4 linked regions of the Anolis sagrei genome follow. The protein of the gene in region 2 purifies or fractionates together with the protein of the main gene of each other region. This does not show direct contact. Links are inferred from orthologs where the notes say so. Each region holds a gene or a part of one and is shown on either strand. Other genes may lie near its edges. The genes, in order: EIF3I, EIF3H, EIF3D and EIF4G1.

Region 1 (8,074 bases), on a different chromosome or scaffold from region 2:
AACCAACATGCATATTCTGATTTGTAGATCGACAGACAGATGCTGCAGTAGAACATTTGTGATTTTCAATTCCTTTATATATACACATAGAAGTGGGGTGTGTGTGGAAATATAGAAAATCATTACCGGATCTTTGGCGACCGTGAAGAGTAGATCTCCTTCCCTGTTATATTTGATCTGAGTAATAGACCGCTCATGGCCCTGCAAGAGGATAGGTTTCTGTGGGAAGAAAAGAACAATGTGCTTTAACACAGTCTGAACCATACTGCCTTGTAGAGATTTCATTCCTTTCTCTGTTTTTGCTCTCTGAATCTGCAAAGCTGTATCTATTTTTTGGAGAAGGTATAAATAGCAGTACATTTCTTATAAAACATAGCGCACCAAGAGATAACATGATAACATGTATCATATAAATTAAATATCCTATAACATACATGGATAGAAACACAAACACAGCTGTAGATTTATTCCTATTATTATTGTTATTCATACTCCTATCATTCCTAATATTAGTAGTATTCCTAATAATAGTAATAATAAACTTTATTTATACCATGCCACCATCTCCCATAGGGATTCGGGGCAACTCACAAAGCACACAATGGTGCCATACAACATAAAATACAATATATCAACATTAAAAACCAATAACACATTTAAAACTAGGCATATTAAGTTAACAAGAGCAACATAATCAATAAAATATGGCAATAATAATTAATTAAAAGATCCATACAATCAATTTAGACTTCCCTGGCTAAATATAGTAATCTGGTTAGTATCTTAAACATTATCAAAGGCCTGCAGAAAGAACCAAGTTTTTAGCTCTTTCCTATGATTATTATCATTATTATTATTCCTATTCTTATTATTAATCCTATTATTAGGAGTATTCCTATTATCATTATTATTCCATCCAGATAATGGAACAGTACCTTATTCCTATTCTTCCCATTATTATTTCAATTATTATTCCTATTGTTGTGAGGCCTATATTTAAAAAGCCACCCCTGATCCCTTCTATAATGGAGAGTTATCGGCCAGTGTGCACCCCTCCCCTTTCTGAGCAAGGACTTGGATCATGTGGTGGCCTCCCAACTTCAGGGATTTCTGGGTGAAATGGATTATCTAGATCAATTTCAATCTGGTTTCAGGCCTGGCAATGGAACAGATACAGCTTTGGTTGCCTTGGTGAATGACCTCCGCAGAGACCTAGATAGGGGGGAGTGTGTACTCTGTTAGTTCTCCTGGACCTTTCAGCAGCTTTCAATACCATCAACCATGGTATCCTTCTAGGTTGTCTCACAGGGATGGGATTGGGAGACACTGTCTTGCAGTGGCTCTGATCCTTCCTGAAAGGCCGTACCCAGAAGGTAGTGCTGGGGGACCCCTGGCTGTTGACCTGCGGGGTTCCTCAGGGTTCCATTTTAACCTACATGGTGTTTAACATATACATGAAACTGCTGGGAGATGTCATCCAGAGTTTTGGAGTATGATGCCACCTATACGCAGATGACATCCAACTCTACTACTCCTTTCCACCTAATGCCAAGGAAGCTGTTCTGACCCTAAACCAGCATCTATAATCAGCAATTATTTATTTATTTAAAACATTTATATTCCGCCCTTCTCACACCGCAGGGGGCTCAGGGCAGAGCACAACATATATATGGAAAACATTCAATGCCAGGACATAAAACCATAAATATATACAAACATTAAAATCACTTATATTCACATTAAAAGTTGCTTAAAAACCATCTCAGGACACCATTTTGCCTCATTGCACTGCCCCAAAGGCTTGGACCCACAGCCAGATCTTCACATTCTTCTGAAGGACAGGAGGGAGGAGGCTGATCTAATATTGTCATAACCGAGGGGCAATCACTGAGAAGGCCCTGTCTCTCATCCCTGCCAAACGCGCCTGTGATGGTGGCAGGGCCGAGAGCAGGGCCTCCCCAGAAGATCTTAGTTTCCGCAGTGGTTCGTAAAGGGAGATGCGTTCAGACAAATAAACTGGGCCTGGGATGTTTAGGGTTTTATAGGCCAAAGCCAGCACTTTGAATTGTGCCCGGTAGCAAACAGGCAGCCAGAGCAGCTGACGTAACATGGGAGTTGTGTGCTCCCTGTTAGCTGCCCTAGTTATTAACCTGGCTGCTTCTCTTTGGACTATTTGAAGCCTCTGAACCGTCTTCAAAGGCAACCCCACGTAGAGCATGTTGCAGTAGTCTATCCTGGATGTAATGAGAGCGTGGACCACCGTGGCCAAGTCTGGCTTCCAAAGGTACGGGCGCTGCTGGTGCACAAGTGTTAATTGTGCAAAAGCCCCCCTGGCCACCGCTGCTACCTGAGGATCCAGACTCAGCGATTAATCCAAAAGGACTCCTAAGCTGCGAACCTGTGCCTTCAAGGGGAGTGTAACCCCATCCAGCACAGGCTGCAACTGACCAGGATGACCTCGGATGAGGGCAAACAAATTGAAACTTCATCCAGACAAGACAGAGGTAGTCCTGATCAGTTGGAAGGCAGACCACGGAATAGGGATCCAGCCTGCGCTGGATGCCCCCCCCCCCCCCGAAAACACAGATTCAAAGTCTGGGGATCCTGCTGAAGCTATCGGCAGCGGCCAGGAGGGCCTTCGCACAATTAAAACTTGTGCACCAACTGCGCCCATTCCATGAGAAGCCAGATCTGGCAATGGTGATCCATGCCTTAGTTATATCCCATCTGGAATACTGTAACGCGCTCTAGGTATGGCTGCCTTTAAAGAGTGCTCAGAAACCTCAGCTGGTCCAAACACCTGCAGCAAGGTTGCTCACTGGGGCTGGCGATAGGGAACGGAGAGGCCCAGGCCCAGACCAGGCTGGATTGATCCACTAAACCGACTCATGGGCAGCTTCAGGGGAAGAGGGACTCACCATGGCTGCGGCAAAGGAAGGCCAGGCGGCGCAGAAGAGGCCAGATGAACCACTTCCGGCACGAGACCGGAAACGGAAAGCCGAAACCAGGTGTCCATAGAGATATAAAAAGAGAAGAGAGCCTCACACTTCCGGTTGACAAGAGCTGCGCCAAACCGGAAGTAGGACTTGTTTGCGTCAGTCTAGCCCTCTACTCTATGACCGGTCGCCATGGCGTCGCTGGGTGAGAAAGGAAGGGGGGGGACTTTAGTTTCATGCCCACGTGTATTAGAAACGGTGTGGGTCCATGGCCACCTTCGGCCTCTGTAGAAGCAGTGCGTCCCAGAGCTGGGAGGGATTCCCAGGGGTCACGCAGTCCAACTACTTTCTGGAGGCAGGAAAAGCACAACCAAAGCCCTCCCAACAGATGGCCATACAAACTCATAAGCAGGCTCATGGAGAAACAGGACTCAAAGAACCCTAGAATTGGAAGACAGGGACCCCAAAGGCCATGCAGTCCAACCTCCTTCTCCTATTATGCAGGAAGGCACCATCCAAGCCCTCCTGGCAGATGTCCATCCAGCCTCTGCTGAATATGAATAATATTATTAATAATAGAATCCTAGAGTTGAAAGGGACCCCAAACGCCATACAGTCCAACTCCCTTCTACAATTATGCAGGAAGGCACCACCCAAGCACTCCTGGCAGATGTCCATTCAGTCTATACTTAATATAATAATAATAATAATAATAATAATAATAATAGTAATAAGAGAATCCTAGAGTTGGAAGGGACCCCAAACGCCATACAGTCCAACTCCCTTCTACAATTATGCAGGAAGGCACCACCCAAGCACTCCTGGCAGATGTCCATTCAGTCTATACTTAATATAATAATAATAATAATAATAATAATAATAATAGTAATAAGAGAATCCTAGAGTTGGAAGGGACCCCAAACGCCATACAGTCCAACTCCCTTCTACAATTATGCAGGAAGGCACCATCCAAGCCCTCCTGGCAGATGTCAATTCAGCCTCTGCTTAATATATTAATAATAATAATAATAATAGAATCGTAGCATTGGAAGAGGTCCCAAAGGCCATCCAGTTCAACCTCCTTCTGCCATTATGCAGGAAGGCACCATCCAAGCCCTCCTGGCAGATGTCAATTCAGCCTCTGCTTAATATATTAATAATAATAATAATAATAATAATACGTTCAACCTAATAATAATAATACGTTCAACCTCCTTCTGCCATTATGCAGGAAGGAACCATCCAAGCCCTCCTGCAGATGTCAATTCAGCCTCTGCTTAATATATTAATAATAATAATAGAATCCTAGCATTGGAAGAGATCCCAAAGGCCATCCAGTCCAACCCCCTTCTACCATTATGTAGGAAGGCACCACCCAAGCCCTCCTGGCAGATGGTCATCCAGACTCTGCCTAATATATTATCAAAAATTGAGGCCCTAATGTCTGGATTGGGCTATCTGAAACCCTCACCTGTTTGGAATGCCAATATCCCTCCACAAAGCTTATCTTGTGTGGTGATTTTAATGCTAGAATTGGAGCGGGTGTGAAACAAGTGGAAGGCACTAACTTTGGACAAGATGGTCAGGTTACATCTGCTGACAGGGTTTCTCAAGACATAATCAGAAACAAGTCAAGTTTGGGTTGTTGTAGGTTTTCTCAGGCTATATGGCCATGTTCTAGAGGCCTTAGGAGAGAATGCCTCTAGAAAATGGCCATATAGCCCGAAAAAACCTACAACAAACCAGTGATTCCGGCCATGAAAGCCTTTGACAATACAAGTCAATTCTCTTAGAACTTCTCTCCTTGCATCCATTGCACTACCTCAATGGAACCCAGCATGACATAACGCAAGCTGCCTATACCTATGCCACCAACAGGGTACACAGGTATAGTACAATTGATTATACGGCAGTTTCTGCCAGCCTGCCTGAAAATCCCTTCAGGGTAAGAGGCACAGAGTATAATGTGGTAAATAAATAAATAAACACAAAAGAGAGTGGGACTATGAGTACCTTTAATCTAGACACTATATTATTTATGCAGCCTAGAATCACATTGGCCTTTTTCGCTGCTGCATCACAGTGTTGGCTCATGTTCAGCTTGTGGTCCACTCAGACTCCTAGACCCCGTTCCCATGGACTGCTTTCAAGCTAGGGGTCACCCATCCTATATCTATCCATTTTATGTTTATTGTCAAAGCGTCATATTATACATTTGTCCCTGTTGAAGTTCGTTTGGTTAGTTATTATGTTTATTTACACACTACTTTTTCCCTCCACAAGAAGCCTTACATTTTGAGTCCCCCACCCCCACTTTGAGTCCCCCCAGGGGTGAGAAAGGCTGTATATAAATACTGTAAATATTTATTTATTATTGATTTATTTACTTTATTTATATACCGCTTTTCTCAGCCCTCAGGCGACTCAAAGCAGTGAACAACATCTATACAAAACATCACGAGACAAGTATAGGGCAATTAAAAACAATTGTAACATAAATCATTAAACATCAGTAAATAAATAATAATAATAATTTTGATCCATCCTTTTAATCTCCCATGGTCACTTTGGATCCTGATCCTGCCTTCTAGAGTCTTAGCCATCCCTCCCAACAAGGTCCCATTTTCAAGTGTATAAACCTCCCTTCTATTCAGTTATCTAAGTCATCAATCGAGACTTTGAATAGTCCTGAATGGCCCAGGACTGGGCCCTCTTCTTGGCACTTCTCTCCAGGAGGAAGAGGGGTTTCTCGAATACTCTTTTGCAAAATCCTTCCAAATTACCATTACAATGATTATTAGAAGTTTCCTTTCTTGCAGGTGAACTAAGTGCCTGTCTCTTGGTGGCCCTTCTTTGGGGAGGGACCAACCCATTTTTGAAAAAGGGAACAGAAGGCCTGGAGCAAGTGAAGAAGGAGAGACGAAGCCTGCAGCTCCTGGCAGAAATGAAGTTCCTTTGCTTCAATTACAAGGTATTTGATAGTTCCCCCTATTAATATACTTACAAAAATAATAATAACTGTCTAATTCCCAGTAACTAAAGCACACAATTCTACTCTATCAAGTATACTAGGCTGACTGTTTTCCAGTGCTTGCACTTCTAAGACCTCTGGGGTTTTATGTTACATGGGATAATATTCTGTTTTGTTTGTTAATGCCTCACTATAGGCCATTTGCACACAAAGAAGTACAATATACAAGCACAACAATCCAAAAACATACCAAAGTACTTCATAAAACAATTGGAATACAGATCTCGCCTATTACAATTCAATACCATTAGAATACAATACCATTAAAATACAGTATCACACATCAAATGCATACAACGATATTAAAATTTAGATTAGATAAAATTCAATGCACTAAGAGCATCCTCATAGCGGTTCACTGCAATATCAGCAATGCATCTAGCCCAACATTTCATTGCTGCCAAGACAAAAAATGTGTGTTGTCATAGAATACATGGTTCTAGAGACAAGAAACAGAACAGTATGCATTTTAAACATTTTTTAATTATTGCAGTTGAAGATACTGGCTTGATTTGTCAAAAAATGACCCCTCCACTCCCTAAAATATGAATTTAAACATTATTTCTTGTGTGTGTGTGTACAGAATTAATATAACTTCCGCAGCTGCTGAGATTCAAAAGGTCCGATCTTGCTCAACAGCTAACCCCAAAACTGCCCAGAGCCCAGAAACCCCTAGAGGATTCATCTAATCAACTGCCAAGGCCAACAGCCCCATGGAGGTGGAAGAGAGATGTTCCTCAGACAATAGGATAGCCCCACACCCCTCTCCTGTAGAGTTTTGCCCTAACCAACACACTCTGAGGCTCCCTTTAGATCTGGATTCATGGAGATGATTTCTTGCTGAGAGATGGACGGGAATGAGGTGGTGGTGGTGGTGGGGAGACTCAGGTATTTATACTGTGAGGATTAGGATGCAATGGCAGAGAGCAGCCACAGAAATGTTCCCAATGCACCCAAAAACTATATGTTTTATTTGAGAAACTCTGGGGGTTTGTACATCTGGGAAACTGGTCCAGTGTCCTGGGAGAAAATCCCCTCAGGGAGGCAAAGCAAACAGGAAAGGATCCTTTTAAGATGTAATTAGGATCAGGGTCCAGGCAAATATCTAGGTGTTTCAGAACTATCAGATATGAACTCCGTCTTAATAGAATTTGTATTGTTTTCTATTTTTTCCATTCAGCTGTCTATATTGACCTAAGCCTTCCGATTATGTCAGAGACTAGCTCCTTTTGTGGACTCATATAATCTAGTCGTGGATTTTTTGCATTGCCCCAAACCATATTATTATTCCTGAGGCAGCACTCCGAACGGCTCCAGCTTCAAAGGAACCAATAGAAGCTCTCAATTCTTCCCGCCACAAAGGAACTCTGCCCACCTCTGAAATCTCAGGGAGTCCCCAGCCAATGAGAGCCCAGATCCTGGCTTGACCATTTCTGAGCCAATCAGGGGAAGGAGTGGGTCATTTGAATGGCTGTCAATGGGGATAAAATGCCTTGCACTGTCTTACATGGTGATTCCTTTAGAACGGAGACTGTGTATCAGACATCCTTTCCACTCCTTAGATGGCCAACTGATTTTGGCATCAATACTGCCATTTCTTCTTCTTCTTGCAGGTTGTGGTGCCATTTCTTCTCAACTAGTGTGGTTCCTTGGTCTACTATATGACTTTATATATGAATTTAAAATATGAATTTAAACATTATTTCTTGTGTGTGTGTGTATATAGAATTAATATAACTTCCGCAGCTGCTGAGATTCAAAAGATCCGATCTTGCTCAACAGCTCACCCTCAAAACTGCCCAGAGCCCAGAAACTCCTAGAGGATTCATCTAATCAACTGCCAAGGCCAACAGCCCCAGGGAAGTGGAAGAGAGATGTTCCTCAGACAATAGGATAGTCCCACACCCCGCTCTTGTAGAGTTTTGCCCTAACCAACACACTCTGAGGCTCCCATTAGATCTGGATTCATGAATATTATTTCTTGCTGAGAGATGGATGGGAGTGAGGTGGGGGGACTCACGTATATATACTGTGGGATTAGGATGCAATGGCAGAGAGCAGCCACGGACATGTCCCAATGCATCCAAAAACACTTAAAACTTTATGT
Region 2 (7,717 bases):
AGATAGAAATAAAGCCCGGCTGCTCATTGGAGGGAAGGATATTAGAGGTAAAGATGAAGTACTTTGGCCACATAATGAGGAGAGAGGAAAGCTTAGAGAAGGCAATGATGCTGGAGAAAATGGAAGGAAAAAGGATGAGAGGCTGGCCAAGGGCAAGATGGATGGATGGCATCCTTGAAGTGACTGGATTGACTCTGAAGGAGTTGAAGGTGGGCGACAGCTGACAGGGAGCTCTGGCGTGGGCTGGTCCATGAGGTCACAAAGAGTTGGAAGAGACTGAGCGAATAAACAACAATAGGATGGATGCTTGCCTTTTACCATTCTACTCAAAGAATAGAGTAGATCTTTTTATTGTAGGTGTTAAGGTTCAGTACTTGTTTTGTTGTGCTATTACCAGTATGTTTATTTACACACCACTTATTCTCTCTCTTATTATGTTTATTTGTACCCCACTTTTTCTCTCTATAAATGAGGGGCCAACCAAGGGCAAGATGGATGGATGGTATCCTTGAAGTGACTGGCTTGACTCTGAAGGAGCTGGGGTGGTGACGGCCAACAGGGAGCTCTGGCATGAGCTGGTCCATGAGGTCACAAAGAGTTGGAAGAGACTGAGTGAATAAACAACAACAGGTTGGATGCTTGCCTTTTACCATTCTACTCAGAGAATAGAGTAGATCTTTTATTGTGTTAAGGTTCAGTACTTGTATTGTTGTGCTATTACCAGTATGTTTATTTACACCCCAATTTTCTCTCTCTTATTATGTTTATTTGTACCCCACTTTTTCTCTATATAAATGAAGGGCCAACCAAGGGCAAGATGGATGGATGGTATCCTTGAAGTGACTGGCTTGACTCTGAAGGAGCTGGGGGTGGTGACGGCCAACAGTTAGCTCTGGCGTGGGCTGGTCCACGAGGTCACAAAGAGTCGGAAGCAACGGAGTGAATGAACAACAACAACAAGTAAAGAGAACCAATGTACTGTAGTACTTTGAGCATTGGGCTATGACTCCGGGAAGCAATGTTCGATTCCCTGCTTGGCCATGGAAACCCATTGTGTGACTTTTGATGAGTTACAAAACCTCAGAAAAACCCAGGATAGCTTGACTTTAGGGTTGTCTTAAGTCAGAAATGATTTGAAAGTATACAAGAGGTCATGAAGAGTCGGAAACGATAGAACAAATAAACAACAACAAACAGATATCCATCCAGTTTGACCCCCTTTTTATCTGTCCTGGCTCAATACCATGGGATACTGGGAGTTGTAGTTTTACTAGGTCTGTAGCCTTCATTACCAATGGGAGTTGTAGTCCAAAGCCTCTGGAGAGTACTTCACCTTGTTGATGGGAAGCTTCCCACCGGAGTGGGAATCATCTATCGGACAGATGGCAAGCTGTTTAACCTCAGCAGACTGAAAGCCAAAACCAAGGTTACAACAACATCTGTTATAGAACTCCAGTATGCTGATGACAATTTCATCTGTGCGCATTCAGAAGAAGATCTACAAGTCACTCTAAACACCTTCGCAGAAGCATACATGAAGCTTGGCCTGTCACTGAACATCGAGAAAACCAAAGTGCTGTTCCAGCAGTCACCGGCCATCCCCTCCCCAATGCCAGAGATACAGCTTAATGGTGTAACATTAGAAAATGTTGACCATTTCCACTACCTTGGCAGCCACCTCTCCACCAAAGTTAACATCGACACCGAAATACACCACCGCCTGAGCTCTGCGAGTGCAGCATTTTCCCGAATGAAGCAGAAAGTGTTTGAGGACTGGGACATCCATAGGGATACCAAGGTGCTTGTCTATAAAGCTATTGTCCTCCCAACCCTGCTGTATGCCTGCGAAACGTGGACTGTCTACAGACGTCACATGCAACTCCTGGAACGATTCCATCAGCGCTGCCTCCGGAAAATCCTGCAAATCTCTTGGGAAGACAAGCGGACAAACGTCAGCGTGCTGGAAGAAGCAAAGACCACCAGCAAGACCACCAGCATTGAAGCGATGGTCCTCCGCCATCAACTCCGCTGGACCGGCCACGTTGTCCGGATGCCTGAGCAGTCTCCCAACGCGGTTGCTCTACTCTGAACTTAAGAATGGAAAACGGAACGTTGGTGGACAGGAAAAGGGATTTAAAGATGGGTTCAAAGCCAACCTTAAAATCTCTGGCATAGACACTGAGAACTGGGAAGCCCTGGCCTTTGAGCGCTCCAGCTGGAGGTCAGCTGTGACCAGCAGTGCTGCAGAATTTGAGGAGGCACGAGTGGAGGTTGAAAGAGAGAAACGTGCCAGGAGGAAGGCGCGTCAAGCCAACCCCGACCGGGACCGCCTTCCACCTGGAAACCAATGCCCTCACTGTGGAAGAAAATGCAGAGCAAGAATAGGGCTCCACAGCCACATGCGGACCCACAAGGAACCCATAATGGAAGACCATCTTACTCGTCCAACGAGGGATCGCCTAAGTAAGTAAGTATGTCCTGAAATAAAACAGCGAGCTATAAATACGGATACCTGTTGCTGGTTCACAATGGACTTGAAATTGGATCTTATGGTGTTAGGTGGGAATGGGGTTGTTGTTTTCCCCCCTTCTGCATCCAAGAGGAATTATTTGAGGCATCTACACCAGGTAAGGGCCAAACTGGGCCTTCCAGGTGTTTTGGACTTCAACTCCCACAATTCCTAACAGCCTCAGGCCTCTTCCTTTCCCGCTCAGCCGCTTAAGCGGCTGAGGGGGAAAAGGAAGAGGCCTGAGGCTGTTAGGAATTGTGGGAGTTGAAGTCCAAAACACCTGGAAGGCCCAGTTTGGCCCTTGCCTGGTGTAGATGCTCCCTCCTCCTCCCCCAACTCCTCCTTCTCCCTCTTCTCTCACCAGGCCGTCAATCTGCACTTGCTTCACGGCAGAGTCGCCCGGAGCTGACTTGCCCTTCACTTTGGCGACGGACGACGAAGGAGCGCCGGCTGCTTCTTTGCGCGACGCCATCGCTGAGAGAAAGAGAGAGTGAGCACGCCTACCGGGAAAGGGAGAGAGCGGAAGTGCCTTCCACCGCAATAATAGCGTCCGGGCGGAAACCAGGAGCCCATGAAGAAAGGTTCCGGGAACGAGACAAGTTGGGCAAAGAGGAGTGGTTGCCAAAGCATGTGCACTTGGTTTTATATACTAATAAATAGATACAAACACGCTTATACACAAGCGTGTTTACTAAATATTAGTGCACGTATATCTAAATATATATTTAAATATAAATTATATTCTAAATATTGTACAATATAAATACAACACATGAAAATGTATTTTCTTCTATAGTATTATACAGATTTAGATATATCGTTTAAATATATAATAATATAAATTGTATTTTAAACATTGTAGAGTATAAATACAATATATTTCCATTGTGGCGCAGCTGGCTGAGTGTCAGCTGCATTAAGATCACTCTAACCAAAAGGTCATGAGTTCGAAGCCAGCCCAGGTTGGAGTGGGTTTCCAACCAATTGTGTGTAGCCTGTTGTCGACCTTTGCAACCCGAAAGACAGTTGCATCTGTCAAGTAGGAAAATTAGGTACCACCTTAAAGTGTGGGGAGGCTAAATTAACTGATTTATGAGGACATAAAGAAGACTCCAGCAAAGCATTCCAGCGGGGAAGCGTGCAGGGAATGCGGAAGTGCTTCATCAGCGTCACAGATGGACAATGAAAGCAACAGCTCCCCTAACGGCCAGAAAAAGTTAAATAGCCTCTGTATATGTCTGTATATGTTTGCATGTCAAAAATTGGCATTGAATGTTTGCCATATATATGTGTACACTGTAATCCGCCCTGAGTCTCCTGCAGGGTGAGAAGGGCAGAATATAAAAGCTGTAAATAAATAAATAAATAAATTTATATTTATTATTTCTTCTCTATTATTATACAGATTTAAATATATTGTGGATATATATATGCATATATATAGAACCCCCCGTCCTCCCGGTGGCGCAATGGGTTAAAGTGCTGAGCTGCTGAGCTTATTGACCGAAAGGTCACAGGTTCGAATCCGGGGAGCGGCGTGAGCTTCCGCTGTCGGCCCCAGCTTCTGCCAACCTTGCAGTTCGAAAACATGAAAATGTGAATAGATTAATAGGTACTGCTCCGGCGGGAAGGTAACAGTGCTCATACAGTCATGCCAGCCACATGACCTTGGAGGTGTCTACGGACAACGCCGGCTCTTCGGCTTAGAAATGGAGATGAGCACCACACCCTAGAGTCGGACAGGACTGGACTTAATGTCAGGGGCACAACCTTTACCTTTACTATGTTTGTTATTTGTGCCAGGATTCAAACAGGGGTCTCCTAGCACAAAACTTAAAAAAACTACACCACGCCAAATCTTCATTTTTTCAGAATTTATATCCCATCCTTCTCAGCCATTCACTGCCACAAAATCCATTAAAAATAACAGAATGACAGGAATGGGGTTGGAACAGTATCAACTGTCTCCTAAACAAACAGGATCAGAATCCAAAATGACCTCAACAGATTAGAGGTGCTCACCAATAGTTCATCCAGGAAAAAAGTGATTAGTGGAGTGCTGCAGGGTTCGGTCCTGGGCCCAGTGCAGTTCAATGTCTTTATTAATGACATGAATGAAGGTTAAGAAGGCATGCTTTTCAAGTTTGCAAATGACACCAAATTAGGAGGGACAGCTAATACTCCAGAGGACAGGATCAGAATTCAAAACAACCTCAAGAGCCAAGAGAGCTGGGGCAAAAGTAACAAAATTAATTTCAACAAGGACAAATGTAAGATATTACACTTGGGAAGAGCAAAATGAAATGCAAAGATACAAAATGGGTGATGCCTGGCTTGACAACAGTCCATGTGAAAAAGATCTTGGGAGTCTCCATGGACAACAAGTTGAACATGAGCCAACAGTGTGATGCAGCAGCTTAAAAAGCCAGTAAGATTTTGGGCTGCATCAAAAGTACATAGTGTTTAGATCGAGGGAAGTCATGGTGCCTTCTCTATTCTGCTTTGGCCAGATTTCACCTGGAATACTGTATTCCATTCTATGCACCACAAATTAAGAGAGATATTGACAAGCTACGAAGTGTCCAGAGGAGGACTAAAATGATGGAGAACAAGCCCTATGAGGAGCTGCTTAAATAGCTGGGCATGTTTAGCCTGCAGAAGAGATTGAGAGGAGACATTATGGCTTGTATAAATACGTGAGGGGAAGTCACGGGGAGGTGGGAGCAAGCTTCATTTCTGCTGCCCTGGAGACTAGGACTCGGAGCAATGGGTTCAAATTATAGGAAAGAACCTATTACGATGAACTTCCTGACTATAAGAGCTGTTCAGCAGTGGAACTCTCTGCCTCGGAGTGTGGTGAAAACTCCTCCTTTGGAGGCTTTTAAAAAAGAGGCTGGGTGGTAATCTGTCAGAGATACTTTGACTGCGCTTTTCCTGCATGGCAGGGGGTTGGACTCTATGATTCTAAGAAATGACAATAAAATACTGAATTGGCCACGTTTATATTGTAGAATGAACTCATGTTCTAGAACAGTGGTTCTCAACCTGGGGTCCCCAGATATTTTTGGCCTTCACCTCCCAGAAATCCTAACAGCTGGTGAACTGGCTGGGATTTCTGCGAGTTGTAGGCCAAAAACATCTGGGGACCCCAGGTTGAGAACCACTATTCTAGAAGGATTCTCTGCTAACGTTTCTCCTGCATCTATTGCAGGCATCCTCAGAGGTTGTGAGGTCGGCTGGAAACTAGGAAAATGGGGTTTATATATCTATGGAAAGTCCAGGGTGGGAGAAAGAACTCTTGTCTGTTGGAGGTAGGTGTGAATGTTTCAATTGGCCACCTTGATTAGCATTTCATGGCCTGACAGTTTTTAGGTGAGGCTTGTTACTGCCTGGGGTAATCTTTTGTTGAGAGGTGATTAGCTGTCCCTGATTGTTTCTTGTCTGGAGTTCCCGTGTTTCAGTGTTGTTCTTTATTTACTGTTATAATTTTAGAGTGTTACTGCCACCGTGGACTTTGCACAGATATATAAACCCAATTTTCCTTGTTTCCAACACACCTTACAACCTCTGAGGATGCTTGCCACAGATGCAGGCGAAACATCAGGAGAGAATCCTTCTAGAACATGGTCATACAGCCCAAAAAAACTACAATAACCCAGTGATTCCAGCCATATTTATTTATCGTGTCAGGGGCAGACCAAACAGTTGTGTTGCATTTTTTAACAAACAGACAGACAGACAAAATACAACATTTGTGAGTTTGGTAGTTGGTTAAATGTCCTTTGACCAGTATCTGGCCACTTGGAGTGCCTCTGGTGTTGCCGCAAGAAGGTCCTCCATTGTGCATGTGGCAGGGCACAGGTTGCATTGCAGCAGGTGGTCAGTGGTTTGCTCTTCTCCACACTCGCATGTCATGGATTCCACTTTGTAGCCCCATTTCTGAAGGTTGGCTCTGCATCTCGTGGTGCTAGAGCGCAGTCTGTTCAGCGCCTTCCAAGTCGCCCAGTTTTCTGTGTGTCCAGGGGGGAGTCTCTCATTTGGTATCATCCATTGAATGAGGTTCTGGGTTTGAGCCTGCCACTTTTGGACTCTTGCTTGCTGAGGTGTTCCAGCAAGTGTCTCTGTAGATCTTAGAAAACTATTTCTTGTTTTAAGTCGTTGTCGTGCTAGTTGATACCCAAACAAGGGATGAGCTGGAGATGTCTCTGCCTTGGTCCTTTCACTATTGGCTGCTACTTCCCGGCGGGTGTCAGGTGGTGCGATACCGGCTAAACAGTTGAAAGCCTTCAATAATAGAACAAACTCAGTTTGACAACACTTTTAATAGCCAAGGCTGTAGATTTATTTTAGAAGCCGTGGTTTCAGGCAGTTGTTTAACTAACTAATGCTATGAAATATTGGGAGTTGTAGTTTCAGAAGGTCTTCAGCCTTCTTTGCCAGTGTGCTGGCTCCTTCCTCATCTGGCTATACATCCCAATATTCCACAGCATTGAGCCATGGCAGTTAAAGCGGTTTAAAACTGCATTACATCTGCAGGCAAGAATATCCAAGGATAAGCACGTGAGCCAGTTTTGGGCCAGTTTCCTCTAGATCCCACCGCGCATGCGTCGAATGTGTGCTCCTTCCGGCGCAAGAGCCCTACTTCCGGATGGGAGGGAGGGAGGCCCGGCTGTCTGTTTCCCTCTCTATGGTCCCTTCCCGGCCTCCGCCATGAAGATCACGCGGCAGAAGCACGCCAAGAGGAACGTGGGCTTCTACAAGTACAACTTCGGCTTCCGGGAGCCCTTCCAAGTTTTGCTGGACGGGACCTTCTGCCAGGCGGCGCTGCGCAACAAGATCCAGATCCGAGAACAGCTGCCGGGATACCTGGGCGGCGCCACGCAGCTCTGCACCACGCGGTGAGTTGGACAGGAAAAGGAGAGCACCACCAACTCCTCAGAAAGCTGCCGCTCCTATTGGCTGGAGCCGGGCATTCGAATCGGGGGCTTGTGCTGGACGCGGCCTCTGATTGGCCGGAACAGTTCCTTCTCTGAGAGCTGATAGGCTGCAGAGAAGTGTCATTTTATTTCACCCAGCCTTGAGGAAGCATCCCTGTTCTGGAATCCCAAATAGCTTCTGAGTGCCCTTCAACGCACCTGAAATCGAATTATATACAACTAGCTGTCCCCTGCCACGTGTTGCTGTGGCCCAGTCTGTTGAACTGGAAAA
Region 3 (6,993 bases), on a different chromosome or scaffold from region 2:
AAGCTGTAAGAAGTTATTTGAACTTCTGTAAAAAGCTACAAGTGAACATACCTTCCCCAGACGATCTCCTTTGCTGAAGGGCTGATAAGGCATATCTTTGAACTGCTCAGGGATAGCACATGGACCCCATCCTGATGGATTGTCTTGGATCACAGGTATCATGAACCTCGCCATCTTTTATATTTCTAGTAAAAAAAAGAAAAGAAAAGGTAGAAAATGATGTTCTCACAATTATAAAATACAAAGGCATTTTGAAATACTAAGATCAGCTGATAAGGTGTTTTCATGGAGCAGACTAAAATATCTTTTAAAATACCTTCAGACTATGTGCACAATTGTGTATATGAAACATAAATTAATTTCATGTTTAGACTTGGGTCCCATCTTCAAGATATCACATCATGTACATATAAGCAAAGACAGTTATTCCCAAAGGTGGATGAAACAGAAATCTCAAACACTTCTGGTCCCTAATAAGGAATACTCAACTTGTATAAAGGAAATAATAATAATAATATATTTATAACCTGCCCTCTCTACCTAAAGGGATTCTGGGTGGTTTCCAAAGTATAACAAAAATGGCAAACATTCAATGCCAAGAACAAAAATAATACTAAATTTTTATTATTTATTGGTTGTAGGTTAGTGCTTAAAGTATCAGCACAACCTTACACTTTCAAGGAAGGATTTACAACTGACTGCATAAACAACATCCTGAATGTGTATCAGAAATAACAAATCCAATACCAAGCAGCACAAAATTTTACATTCTCAGAGACTCTTTAAAAAACACCACCTCCTTCAATTTCTACAAGTTTATTAAACACAGCTCTTTGATGAGATCCAATCCATGATCCACTGTTCATTTTTGGACACATGAATTGAGAATGTAGAATTAGGTAAAAGTGTTTTTTGAGGAAAAATTTCAAGTCATTCAGCTGCACTGAATACCACAGAGTCAGCACTTAAAGTCCTGTATATCTTTTTTTCCTGCTACCCTATAACAACCAACCTTCTTATTAACAAGCATCACTAAAATCTTCTTAAGATGTCAATTATAGTCCTGGATACAAAATCATTTTAATCACATTCCTGTGGCCACTGTCGCCCTGGAACTGCATGAAACTACGCAGAAAAGCAAGAGGAATGGAGTGCAAGGTTTTTCAGTCAGCAGGCATACAGAAAAGTCCTTCTATATTATAGTATGCTAATAATATATTGTATGTACGTATAATATTGATCATAATACTGTAATACAATATAATACTAATAATACAATATAATAACAATAATTATATATTACATGTAAAATTACTAATAATATTGCAGCATAGAAGTATAGTACAATATAGTAAGATATAATACTAATATTGTGCTATGCTAATAATACAATATATTGTATGTACATATAACTTATAAGTTGCTCTGAGTCCCTTTGTGGTGAGAAGGGCGGAATATAAATGTCGTAGATACATTTATTTATTTATTTACAGTATTTATATTCCGCCCTCCTCACCCCGAAGGGGACTCAGAGCAGATCACAATATACATATACACGGCAAATAATCAATGCCGTTTCTGAAATAATTCTATAATGCAAACTATCCCACATATGATTAAACACCGCATAACTATTATCCTGTTTAATGACAGTGTGAATGAGAAATGTGTTTTATAGATCAATACTATTACATACTAAAAATGCCTAATTTCTCTTTGTCATTTCTAGCATTTTGCAAAATGAGTGTGATGACGTGTTCATTCCTTTTGAGCATGTGATAAAGAGACCTAGGGCTCCATCACACTGCAGTATAGCTGTATAGTACAATATAATACTAATATTGTGCTAGTTAATATAATAAGATTATTAAGAATATATTTGGACATAACTTAATAAAAACCCGGGTGCCCCCGGAGGCACAGTGGGTTAAACCACTGAGTTGCTAAACATGTTGACCGAAAGGTGGCAGGTTCTAATCCGGGGAGTGACATGAGCTTCAACTGTCAGCCCCAGCTTCTGCCAACCTAGCAGTTTGAAAACATGCAAATGTGAGTAGATCAATAGGTACCACTCCGTCGGGAAGGTAATGTTGCTCCATGCGGTCATGCTGGAGGTGTCTACGGACAACGCCGGCTCTTCAGCTTAGAAATGGAGATGAGCACCAACCCCCAGAGTTGGATATGACTGGACTTAATGTCAGGGTAAAACCTTTACTTTTTAAAAAGAATTAAGAATATGCTACTTTCTAAAGAGCCTAAGCTCTTACAAAGAGCAGTACAAAATAAAACATTATACCAACACAATACAAATATGTCTACTTTGTACTATGCTTTTGGCAACACATTCATCGTCACAGGTATTATTCCATGGCGATATCCTAAAAAGTCCTGGGATTTGCAGTTTAGGGAGGCGCATGGATAGTTCTCAGCTCTTGAGACTCACTAAACTATACCTCCAGAATGCCAAGGACTGTTGCCATGGCAGTTAAAAGTGGAATAGTAGTGCTATAATAGTGTAGTGTGACATGACCCTTAATGACCAAGGGAGTATCTAGAGCAGGTATGGGCCAACTTGGGCCATCCAAGTGTTTTGGACTGCAACTCCCACCATTCCTAACAGCCTCAGGCCCCTTCCTTTTGCTTCCTCAGGGGAGGAAGGGGCCTGAGACTGTTAGGAATGGTGGGAGTTGCAGTCCAAAACACTTGGATGGCCCAAGTTGGCCCATACCTGCTGTTGAGCCTGGAACAGGGCTGAAATGGGCCTTCCCCCTCCGCCGAATCCATTCAGCAGCCGCCGCCCTTCCCTCGAGGCCCGGCAAGACTACAATCCAAGACTCGGAGGGAAAAAATACTGGCGCCGGAGGAGAGCGAAGGCTCCCCGGTCCTCCCCCGTGGCCGCCTCGCTCACCTCTAGGACCCCAGTGGGCCCCGATGGCAGCGGATTCGGCCCCGAAAACACCGACGACAGATAAACCACCTTCCACAAGGATTGCGCTTTACGGCTTCCCCGGCTTCCGGCGCGGCGGCCCTGGCTCTCATGACACGTCACTCCAGCGCGACGCCAAAACTGTCGCAAAAGCCGAGTTAGGAAAGGAAAGGCCTGGCAGGGACGTAAAAACGCTGGGTTCTCTCTCTCTGTGTTATTTGCATTCAGTGCCTATCGCCTGCGGATTTATGGCAACAACGCCATGAATTTTATAGCTCTTTTTTTTTTTAAAGGAAAGGGATTCTCAGAGATGGTTTTGCTAGTTTCTTCCCCCCACAGCACCTGCCTTTTGTCAGTGATCCCCTCCCTCCATCCAATTACAAACCAGGGCTGATCCTGCTTAGCTACCAAGATCAGACAACCTGGTGCCTTTTGGGCTATTTTAATTTGTGTTATTGCAACTAAAGGCAGTGTGCTGCTTTACAATCTAGGAAATACAATAAATACTGCAAGTGTGTGTATGGAATAGATCAAAAGGTGCATCTATGCCGTAAAGTTAATGTAGTTTTATACCACTTTAGCTGTCTTATACCTGTTTGGGTATCAGCCAGCACGTCAACGACTTAAATCTAGAAATAGTTTTCTAAGATCTACAGAGACACTAGCTGGAACACCTCAGCAAGCGAGAGTCCAAAAGTAGCAGGCTCAAACCCAGCACCTCAACCAATGGCTGATACTCAATGAGAGACTCCCTACTGGGCACACAGAAGACTGGGAGACTTGGAAGGCGCTAAAGACACTGCGTTCTGGCACCACGAGATGCAGAGCCGACCTTCAGAAATGGGGCTACCAAGTGGAATCCTCGACATGTGAGTGTGGAGAAGAGCAAACCACTGACCACCTGCTGCAATGCAACCTGAGCCCAGCCACATGCACAATGGAGGACCTTCTTGCAGCAACACCGGAAGCACTCCAAGTGGCCAGATACTGGTCAAAGGACATTTAACCAACTACCAAACTCACAAGTTTTGTATTTGTCTGTTTGTTTACTTTGTTCTGTTAGAAATGTAATATAATGGACTGGTTGCTCTGACACGACAAATAAATAAGCTGTCTTAAGATCAAGGCTAAGGATTTGTGGGAGTTGTAGTTGTGCAAGGTCTTTAGCTATCTCTGCCAAATAGTATTGGTGCCTCATCAAACTGCCTTACCAAACTACAAATCCCAGAATTCCATAGCACTGAGTTATGGCAGGAAGCGGTGTCAAACTGCATTAATTCTACAGTGTAAGAGCACCCCTATGTACTGCACCATTACAATCCTATTATTTTACTGTAATAGCAGGTTACTGTGGAATCATGGAGCCCCCGGTGGTGCAGTGGGTTAAACCCCTGTGCCGGCAGGACTGAAGACCGACAGGTCGCAGGTTCGAATCTGGGGAGAGGCGGATGAGCCCCCTCTATCAGCTCCAGCTCCTCACACGGGGACATGAGAGAAGCCTCTCACAAGGATGATAAAAACATCAAATCATCCGGGCGTCCCCTGGGCAACATCCTTGCAGACGGCCAATTCTCTCACACCAGAAGCGACTTGCAGTTTCTCACGTCGCTCCTGACATGACAAAAAAACAAAACAACAACAACAAAAAACCTGTGGAATCCAGGGATTTGTAGTTTACGGAGAAGCATTTAGATTTCTCAACCAGAAAGATCTCTGACCTCATTAGACTACAAACCCCAATATTGCATAGGGTGTTGCCATGGCAGTTAAAGCAGAATATAGTGCTATAATGGTTTAGTGTAGTAAGGACCTAGAATCATTGAGTTGGAAGAGACCTCGTGGGCCATCTAGTTCTAACCCCCTGCCAAAAAGCAGGAAAATCGCATTCAAAGCACCCCCACAGATGGCCATACAGCCTCTGTTTAAACGCCTCCAAAGAAGGAGCCTCCACTATACTCCGGGGCAGAGAGTTCCACTGCTGAACAGCTCTCACAGTCAGGAAGTTCTTCCTCATGTTCAGGTGGAATCTCCTTTCCTGTAGTTTGAAGCCATTGTTCTGCGTCCTAGTCTCCAAGGCAGCAGAAAACAAGCTTGTTCCCTCCTGCATATAATTTTCCTTCATATATTTATACATAGCTATTATGTCTCCTCTCAGCCTGAGTGTAAACCTGAGTGTAAACAAAAAAACAATATAATGAAACACAATGTATTATTGTACAGCCGCATCTAATTGCACTGGAGTGACCATTCGTAGTCAAAGGGACCACAACATTGGTATTCTAAAATTTCTGATTTTACTATAATTTCTGATTTTGATACAGTGGGGCTTCACCAACTACAGCTCAAAAATATCTGGGGAGAAAAATTCCAAAAAGCAAACCTATTTTTGCCTCACTATTTTACTATACCATTGTGTAGTGATTTCAGCTAGGACCGCAGTCAAGGGAGGGATTTGACCAATGTCCCCTTTCCCAAGAGATTACGCAAATGTTACATTTTGATATGTATAACAAACAGATTATACACTTCATATACTAAATTGATACAGTTCTTGTTGTTCATTCGTTCAGTCGTTTTTGACTCTTTGTGACCTCATGGACCAGCCCACGCCAGAGCTCCCTGTCGCCATCACCTCCCCCAGCTCCTTCAGAGTCAAGCCAGTCACTTCAAGGATGCCATCCATCCATCTTACCCTTGGTCAACCCCTTTTCCTTTTTCCTTCCATTTTCCCCAGCATAATTGTCTTCTCTTAGCTTTCCTGATACAGTACACAGTAAGAAAGATACAATTTACATAGAAACCATCAAATAGTTACATTTTATTAAAGGGTTCAGAACTGATAGAGTTTGTAGGGTACAGCTGTCACCCCAATCTCTTAAAAGGTGCAAGTGTAGAAACACGGCCAGCAAAGTAACAAGGTGTTTATTAGTCTCAGAAAGAAAGTTTTATTCTGAAAAACTATCAGAAGAAGTAGAAAAAATACAGAGAACTGGACCTCCAGTGATGCTACCGAAATTCAGGAAGCCTGAGCAGTGACAGTACATTTGCTTTTATAGTTTCACAGTTCTGCGCCACCTTTTTGGGGTGTCACTCAATCATTGTCAAACTCAAATAGGTTAAATGTAAATGGGGCAATTTCACATCATGGTCCATGTCCCCACCATGTAGCCTCCCTTTGTACAGTTTGTATCAGTAGGAACCCTTCATCCTGATCTACAATCTGCAAGGTGAGCGGATAATGAAGGTCCATTGTGCAGTCTTTTATTTTTCTTATTTCCTCTTTGGGTTGGATGGGAAGAAAGAAGTCAATTAAACATCACAATAATTGTACGTACATCAGAAAGGGATAAGGAATAGTGAATGGACCAATGGAACGGCTACAGACTCTATTATGGATTTGATTTTAATAACTTTTAAAATCGTGTTGTTTATTGGTGGGTTTTAATATAAATGTTATTATTTTATCAATGTTTAATTGTTTATTCTTTAAGTCTAAATGTCATTTTATGTTTATTTTTTAATTTGGTTAGGTTAATTTATAGTTATATGTTATCGTCTTGCTATTATCTTTTGGTTTTCACATGTATGTTTGGCATTGAATTTTACCTTTATAATGTTGGAAACCACTTTGAGTTCCCTTAGGGGGAGAAAAGCGGCATATAAATGTAATAAATAAATAATTAAATTTCAGCCTCAGCATGATGTCCCAAATATGTGTCCTATGCAGCAGTCCATGGAGGCATCTGCTATTGAACTATTCTTCCTCCTCCTCATTGTTACAGGAAAACTGTACATACTGTATTTACTCAAATCACCTTTTAAAGCTAAACTACCTTGCCAAAATCAGGATGTGTATTAGATTCGCGTAATAAGATAATCTTGCTGAGCCATAGCAAAAGGGTAAGCTGCTTCAGGAGCAACTGGAGCTTCTATTTGCGGGGTGTCATCTGTAATTTCATTGTCATAGCTCAATGCTATGCAGTCCTGGGATTTTTAGTTTGATGAGGCATCTGCACTCTTTTGGCAGAGAAGGCTCAAGGCCTTGTAAAACTACAGCCCCCATAACC
Region 4 (7,398 bases), on a different chromosome or scaffold from region 2:
TGTGTATTGGAGAGATGTATCATTACTCCAATTATTAAGTTTGTATATGAGCCTCAGCCCTTATGAATGCAGTATGTCCTTGGTATACAAAAAAAAAATCTGTTTTAGGACCCCTCACCCACCTATGGATACCAAAATCTATGTGTGCTCAAGTCCCATTATGCACAATGGCCTGGTGAACTGGTGCGCCTCATATAAAATAGCAAAACCAACATTTGTATTTTGGATCTTTATGTAATACTTTCAAGCTCTGGATAGCTGAATCTGTGGATTTTGAGGACTATACTAGTTAATTGGGGGTGAATTTTGTTCTGTGGGTCTATAATCTACAATAAAATGTACAGGAGAATGAACAACAGGATTATTTATATGAAAAAAGTATTGGAGAAGGGTTACAAAACTTGATCTTCCTGGAATTTACATATTAAAAAGTTGAGCTGTACTGATAGGTGACTATGAATCCAAATGCTATTACCACACACTCAGAAACTAATGGAGCACTGGGTTAATTGCTTACCATGAACCCAAAAGCCTTTTGCATATGCTCAGAAACTAGTGGGGAGATATACTGATATGTATCTATGACCTCAAATGCCTTCTGCATATGCTCAGAAACTAGTGAGGCCAGGCGGGGTAATTAATTGTGATCCCAAATGCCTCCTGTGTTTGTTCAGAGACAACCGGGGCTATGAATCCAATGCTGGGGAGCTATATGGGTGGCTATTAATCAAAGTGCCTTTGGCCTACCTTCATAAACGAGTAGGGCAGCGGATTGAAGGGGAACAAAGGACAAGGACCTGATTTAATAATAAGTATGAAGGACTGACAAGTGGCAATGAATCCACATACGATCTGCACATTCTCAGGAATCAACAGGACACCAGATTATGGACTCAAAAGCCTTCTACATATGCTCAGAAACTAGTGATGCCCTGGATGGATAATTAACTGTGACCTCAAATGCCTTCTGTGTATGTTCAGAAACTACTAGGGCTATGAAACGAGGTGCCTTTTGCCTACCTTCAGAAAGTAGGACTGATATGTGACTATGGATCCCAATGCTATTTGCACATGCTCATAAATTAATGGGACACCAGATTGATACATGATTAAGAACTCAAAAGCCTTCTGTATATGCTCAGGAACTAGTGGGGCAAGGTGAACCCCAAGGCCTTCATCAGGGGCTCAAATAGTAATGTGGCACGAACTGTATAAAGCATGAGAAACCATAGTGCCTTCTGCATATGCTCAGAAACCAATGTAACTTGGACTGATGGGTGGCAACAAATCCCAGTACCTTCTGCATATGCTCAGAAATTACAGGGGGAGGGGGGAGAGAATGAATGGCTATGGTTTGAAATACTGTTTTCATGTCTAGAAGTGAGTGCCTTCTGCATATGCTCAGAAACTAGCATAGTGGGGTGCTGGGCTGATAAATGAATCCAAATGCCATTTGTGTATGCTCAGAAATTAATGAAACACTGGATGAATAATTATTATGAACTCGAAAGCTTTCTGCATATGCTCAGAAACTAGTGAAGCCCTGGATGGAAAATTAACTGTGACCCCAAATGCCTTCTGTGAATGTTCAGAAACTACCAGGGCTATGAAACGAAGTGCCTTTTGCCTACCTTCAGAAATCAGGACTGATAAGTGACTGTGAATCCCAATGCAATTTGCACATGCTCAGAAATTAATGGGACGCCGGATTGATAGATGATTGGGAACTCAAAAGCCTTCTGTATATGCTCAGGAACTATTGGGGCGAGGTGAACCCCAAAGCCTTCATCAGGGGCTCAAATAGTAATGTGGCACAAACTAGATAAAGCATGCGAAACCATAGTGCTTTCTCTATATTTATTATTTATTTATTTATTAATGCACTTGTATACCGCTAATATCTCAGCCTAAATCGGCGACTCATTGCGGTTTACAACATTTAAAAAACAATATTCAGTTAAAAGCATAAAACACATATACAGTACAAATTATTGGGCCACCAATAACAATCCTATGCATCTCATAACTGGAATCGTAATCCAAAATTCATCGTCCGTGTATAACCAATCCTATGCACAGGAACCAGTGGGGAGCTGAGTGGATAATTAACTGTGACCCCAAATGCATTCTGTGAATGTTCAGAAACTACCGGGACTATGAAACAAAGTGCCTTTTTATTGTCGAAGACTTTCATGGCTGGAATCACTAGGTTCTTGTGGGTTTTTTTGGGCTATAGAGCCATGTTCTAGAGGCATTTCTCCTGACGTTTCGCCTGCATCTATGGCAAGCATCCTCAGAGGTAGTGAGGTCTGTATATAAACCCACTGTCCTAATTCCAACAGACCTCACTACCTCTGAGGATGCTTGCCATAGATGCAGGCGAAACGTCAGGAGAGAATGCCTCTAGAACATGGCTGTATAGCCCAAAAAAACCCACAAGAACCTAAAGTGCCTTTTGCCTACCTTCAGAAACTAGGACTGATAGGTGACTATGAATCCCAACACAATTTGCACATCAGAAATTAATGGGTCACCGGATTGATTGAGGACTAGGAACTCAAAACCCTTCTGTATATGCTCAGGAACTATTGGGGCGAGACCATCATGGGCTCAGATACTAACGTGGCATGAACTGGATGAGGTCTGAGACATCCAGGTGCTTTCTGCCTATGCTCAGGAACCAGTGGGGAGCTGTAGTGATGGATGAAGGGGAACCCCAGCGCCTTCTGCATATGCTCAGGAACTATTGGGGCGCTGGGTGGTTGGATGTGGTGAGGAAGGCCGCGCCCCACCCGGTTTGGGGGAGGAAGAGGCGGGCGAGGAGGGCGCGAGGCCTAGTCGGGCCTGCCTCTCTCCTGCACGTGGCGGTGGTGGTGAGGCGAGGCCTAGCGCGGCCTGCCCGCCGGCTCCTTCTCCCTCCTCCCCCTCCGGCCGGGTTGGGTCGAGGAGAGGGCCCCCGGCTTACCTGGCGTCTCCTCCTTCAGCCCGACGGAGCGGGGCCCGACGTAGCCACCATTTCCGGAGCCGCTCGCTCCGAAAGGGAGGGAAAGGGGAAAAGGAAGGGGCGGGGCCTGGCGCTGAAGCCGGCCTGCAGAAACAGGAAGTGGCATCCCAGGATTGGGAGGAGGGGAGGGGGGGGAGAAAAAGAGGAGCCGCCCTTCGTCACGTGACCCTCGCCATGCTTTGGCCTCGCAGGGAGAAAAAGGTCGGCCCGGCCCGTCACGTGACCCCCCTCCCTCGCCAATCCCCGGATGTATGCCAAAGTCTCCCCCACAAGCCCCGCCCACCTCCTCCCGTCACGTGATCCTGGAGGGACTTCCGGTTCCTGTTTGCCTTACTTTCCATCATGGCCGGAGTGACACGTGTTTGAGGAGGAAGGAGAAGAAAGGCTGCTCCCTTTTGGAGTCTTTGTTTTCAGTTCAATAGCTATATCTCTCTTTTTTGAATTGGTATAAACATCTAGAATTACAAAGGTCTAGGCAAGGGAAAGGACATGGCCATCAAAGATAATTACATACGTTTTAAGAATTTCAGAGGTTAGGTCATAAACTACTTTGCAATATATATATATCTTAAGAATTTAAAAGATTAGGTCAAAAACTACATTGCAAGAATATATATATATATAAAGAATTTCAGATATTAAGTCAAAAACTATTTTGCAATAATATATATATTAAGAATTTCAGAGACTAGGTCAAAACCTACTTTGTAAGAATATAGGTATATATATAAAGAATTTCAGATGAAGTCAAAAACTACTTTCCAAATTTATATATATATAGATATATATAAAAAATTCTGAGATTAGGTCCAAAACTACCTTGAAAGAATATATATATATATATAAAGAATTTCAGAGATTAGGTCAAAAACTATTTTGCAAGAATATATATATTTAGGATTTCGGATATTAGGTCAAAAACTACTTTGCAAGAATATATATATATTTAGAATTTCGGAGATTAGGTCACAAACTAATTTGCAAGAATATGTATATAAAGAATTTCAGAGATTAGGTCAAAAACTATTTTGAATATATATATAGAGAGAGAGAATTTCAGAAAATAGGTCAAAAACTACTTTGCAAGAATATATATATTAAGAATTTCAAATATTAGGTCAAAAACTACAAATCTATATATATATATATATATATATAAATCAGATTAGGTCAAAAACTACTTTGCAAGAATATATATATTAAGAATTTCAGAGAGTAGGTCAAAAACTATTTTGCAAGAACATATATATATATATATATATATATAAAGAATTTCAGAGATTAGGTCAAAAACTACAAGAATATATATATTAAGAATTTTATAGAGTAGATCGAAAACTACTTTGCATATTGAGAATTTCAGAAAATAGGTCAAAAACTACTTTGCAAGAATATATATATTAAGAATTTCAAATATTAGGTCAAAAACTACAAATCTATCTATATATATATATATATAAATCAGATTAGGTCAAAAACTACTTTGCAAGAATATATATATTAAGAATTTCAGAGAGTAGGTCAAAAACTATTTTGCAAGAATATATATATATATATATATATATATATAAAGAATTTCAGAGATTTCAGAGATTAGGTCAAAAACTACAAGAATATATATATTAAGAATTTTATAGAGTAGATCGAAAACTACTTTGCATATTAAGAATTTCAGAGATTAGGTCAAAAACTACTTTACATATATAGAGAGAGAAAGAATTTCAGAGATCAGATAAAGTGCATTGCAGGAAATAAAATAAATACATTATGAATTTTAAATATTAGATAAACTATTACACTGAAAGAAAATTATATATATAAAGAATTTTAAAGAATAGAAAAAATTACACAGTTTAAAATTTAGATAAATACATTGTGAGAATAAGAATTTTAAAATTTATACCAAATTTACACTGCAAGAAAATTATATATACATTAAGAATTTTAAAGATTAGATAAAATTGCACTGCAATAATATATGAGAATATTTAAAGATTAAATAGTAGTTTGAAGATTAAATAGTAGTTTAGATTTAAAAAATACATTGCAAGGAAATCAAATAAATTTCAAAGATTAGGGCAAAAACTACTTTGCAAGAATATTTATGTCAGAGATCAAATAAGAAAAAAGTGAATTTCAGGAAATAAAATATATACATTATGAAATTTAAATATTAGATAAAAATTACACAGCTTAAAATGTAGATAAATACATTGCGAGACCACATTTTAAAGTTGCAAGAAAATTATATATATACATTTAGAATTTTAAAGTTTATATAAATTACACTGAAATATATATATATATAGAGAGAGAGAAGAATTTTAAAGATTAGATAAATGATTACACTGCAAGAAAATTAAGAATTGTAGTTTAGATAAAAATACATTTCAAGAAAAATAATTATTTACATTAAAATTTAAAGTAGTTAAAAATTCACTGCAATAAATACATAAAATTGTTAGTTTAAATAAATTACACTGCAAGAAAATGTTTATTTATATTTTTACATTAAAAATGTTAAAGTTTAGGTAAAAAATTACACTGCAAGAAAATTGTGTGTGTGTGTGTGTGTGTGTAATAGATACATTATACAGCCAAAAAATAAAAATTAGTAAAAAAATGAGGGAGAGAAAAAAATGACTACAAATATTTAAGTGATAAATAAATAGTTACAGAGATTAGATTAGGAAAAATTAAACTATAATAAAATTTATACAAATAAGGATGGAAAGAGAAAGGTGAATTCGAGAAAACCCACCCAGAGGTACCTGGAGTGACATGCGGTTGAGGAGGAAAAGGAGAAAGAAAGGCCAAATTGACTCAAAATATCTTATACTTGCTGCTTTTTATTGTTTTCTCCCTCTGTTTGCCAGTTATCAATCCGTCTGGTTGCCATAATCTTGTTATTTTTTATGTTTAAGTGCAACCCAGCTTTTGCACTTTCTTCTTTCACCTTGATTAGAAGGCTCTTCAGCTCCTCCTCGCTTTCGACCATCAAAGTGATATCATCTGCATATTTAAGGCTGTTAATGTTAACTGATATTTTGCTTTAAAACAATTAAAGATATAGTTGGGTTCCATGGAAATAAACATTTTAAAGGGTTTCTTGCTGTGTGTGTATGCCCACAATAGGCAGTACAAACAGAATTCGCTTCCAGAATCCCTTACTGGGCACGCTTGAACAGTTATATAGAGCAGTTGCTCCCAAGCTTTTTCAGTCATGGAAGCTTGCTCTAAGAACTTTTCCATCCCACCTCCCACACTGTTCAAAAAAGGTTCCCAGTCATTGACAAAGTTTTTCTGTATTTCCTCCCGATTCCTCATAACCAATTTATTCACTTTCAAACACTTTATAAGAGAAAGTCAGCCATAGCAGAGCACTTGATGAACCAACCTGGACACAGCATATTATTTTCTTAGTGGGTCTGTAGATAGTTTGAAGGTTGTGTTTCTTCATCAGCTTCCCTATGCGGTCAGTGGTTCCCTTGTTGTCTGGTAAGAACACGTTTCCTCTGGGTGGATTTTTGTCTTTACTCTCATGGCTTCCTATCTACAGGCCCACTAAGAAAATCCAACAAATGCTACGTTCAGCAAAGGACAAGAGGGATCCTCTCACCTCTGCAGGAGTCTACCGTATTCCATGCAGCTGTGGACAAGTCTACATAGGGACCACCAAATGCAGCAGCATTGCCCAAACAATGTTATTGGTGTTATTGTTCTAATGTTTATTGTTATTGCTTTAATGTTTATTGTTTTGCTGTATGAGTTTTATTGTTGTATTTGTTATGCTGTTGTTTTATTGAGGGCCTTGGCCTTTTGTAAGCCGCACCGAGTCCTTTGGGAGATGTTAGCGGGGTATAAATAAAGTTAATAATAAAACATGAATCAAGGAACATGAAAGGCACTGCAACTTATTCAACCAGAGAAGTCAGCCATAGCAGAGCAACTGATGAACCAGCCTGGACACCCCATATTATTTGAGAACACAGAAATGCTGGACCACTCTAACAACCACCATGTCAGGCTATACAGAGAAGCCATTGACATCCACAAGCATGTGGGCAATTTCAACAGAAAGGAAACCATGAAAATGAACAAAATCTCGCTACCAGTATTTATAAAACTCTAAAATCAGGACAGTAAATAAAGAACAACACTAAAAAAAATGGGAATTCCAGAGAAGAAATAATCAGGGCCAACTAACATCTCCCGACAAATGATTCCCCCAGGCAGTAAGCAGCCAGGGTTTGAAGCTGCAAGGCCATAAAATGCTAATCAAGGTGGCCAATTGCAACATTCATACTAGACAAGTTTTTTCTCCCATTCTGGACATTCCTCAGATATATAAACCTCACTTGCCTAGTTTCCAACAGACATCACAGCCTTGGAAG

Evidence for each region.
Region 1: the proteins of EIF3H (region 2) and EIF3I purify together in Homo sapiens (affinity purification with mass spectrometry; 7 studies listed by BioGRID and IntAct, counting the BioPlex papers as one, with this or other methods). This does not show direct contact. The link is inferred for Anolis sagrei from reciprocal best matches to the Homo sapiens genes EIF3H and EIF3I.
Region 3: the proteins of EIF3H (region 2) and EIF3D purify together in Homo sapiens (affinity purification with mass spectrometry; 10 studies listed by BioGRID and IntAct, counting the BioPlex papers as one, with this or other methods). This does not show direct contact. The link is inferred for Anolis sagrei from reciprocal best matches to the Homo sapiens genes EIF3H and EIF3D.
Region 4: the proteins of EIF3H (region 2) and EIF4G1 purify together in Homo sapiens (affinity purification with mass spectrometry; 4 studies listed by BioGRID). This does not show direct contact. The link is inferred for Anolis sagrei from reciprocal best matches to the Homo sapiens genes EIF3H and EIF4G1.

What each region holds. Positions count from the first base shown.
Region 1 is NC_090034.1:83,413,518-83,421,591, forward strand, and holds the start of EIF3I (eukaryotic translation initiation factor 3 subunit I), read right to left. Parts: upstream 3,028-8,074; 5' UTR 2,922-3,027; coding exon 2,919-2,921; intron 220-2,918; coding exon 127-219; intron 1-126. UniProt on the Homo sapiens protein: Component of the eukaryotic translation initiation factor 3 (eIF-3) complex, which is required for several steps in the initiation of protein synthesis.
Region 2 is NC_090024.1:23,341,021-23,348,737, reverse strand, and holds the start of EIF3H (eukaryotic translation initiation factor 3 subunit H), read right to left. Parts: upstream 3,026-7,717; 5' UTR 2,982-3,025; coding exon 2,871-2,981; intron 1-2,870. Other genes in the region: rRNA-processing protein UTP23 homolog, read left to right, coding at 7,220-7,407.
Region 3 is NC_090025.1:166,604,282-166,611,274, reverse strand, and holds the start of EIF3D (eukaryotic translation initiation factor 3 subunit D), read right to left. Parts: upstream 3,034-6,993; 5' UTR 2,909-3,033; intron 186-2,908; 5' UTR 175-185; coding exon 52-174; intron 1-51. UniProt on the Homo sapiens protein: mRNA cap-binding component of the eukaryotic translation initiation factor 3 (eIF-3) complex, a complex required for several steps in the initiation of protein synthesis of a specialized repertoire of mRNAs.
Region 4 is NC_090023.1:262,549,592-262,556,989, forward strand, and holds the start of EIF4G1 (eukaryotic translation initiation factor 4 gamma 1), read right to left. Parts: upstream 3,077-7,398; 5' UTR 2,966-3,076; intron 1-2,965.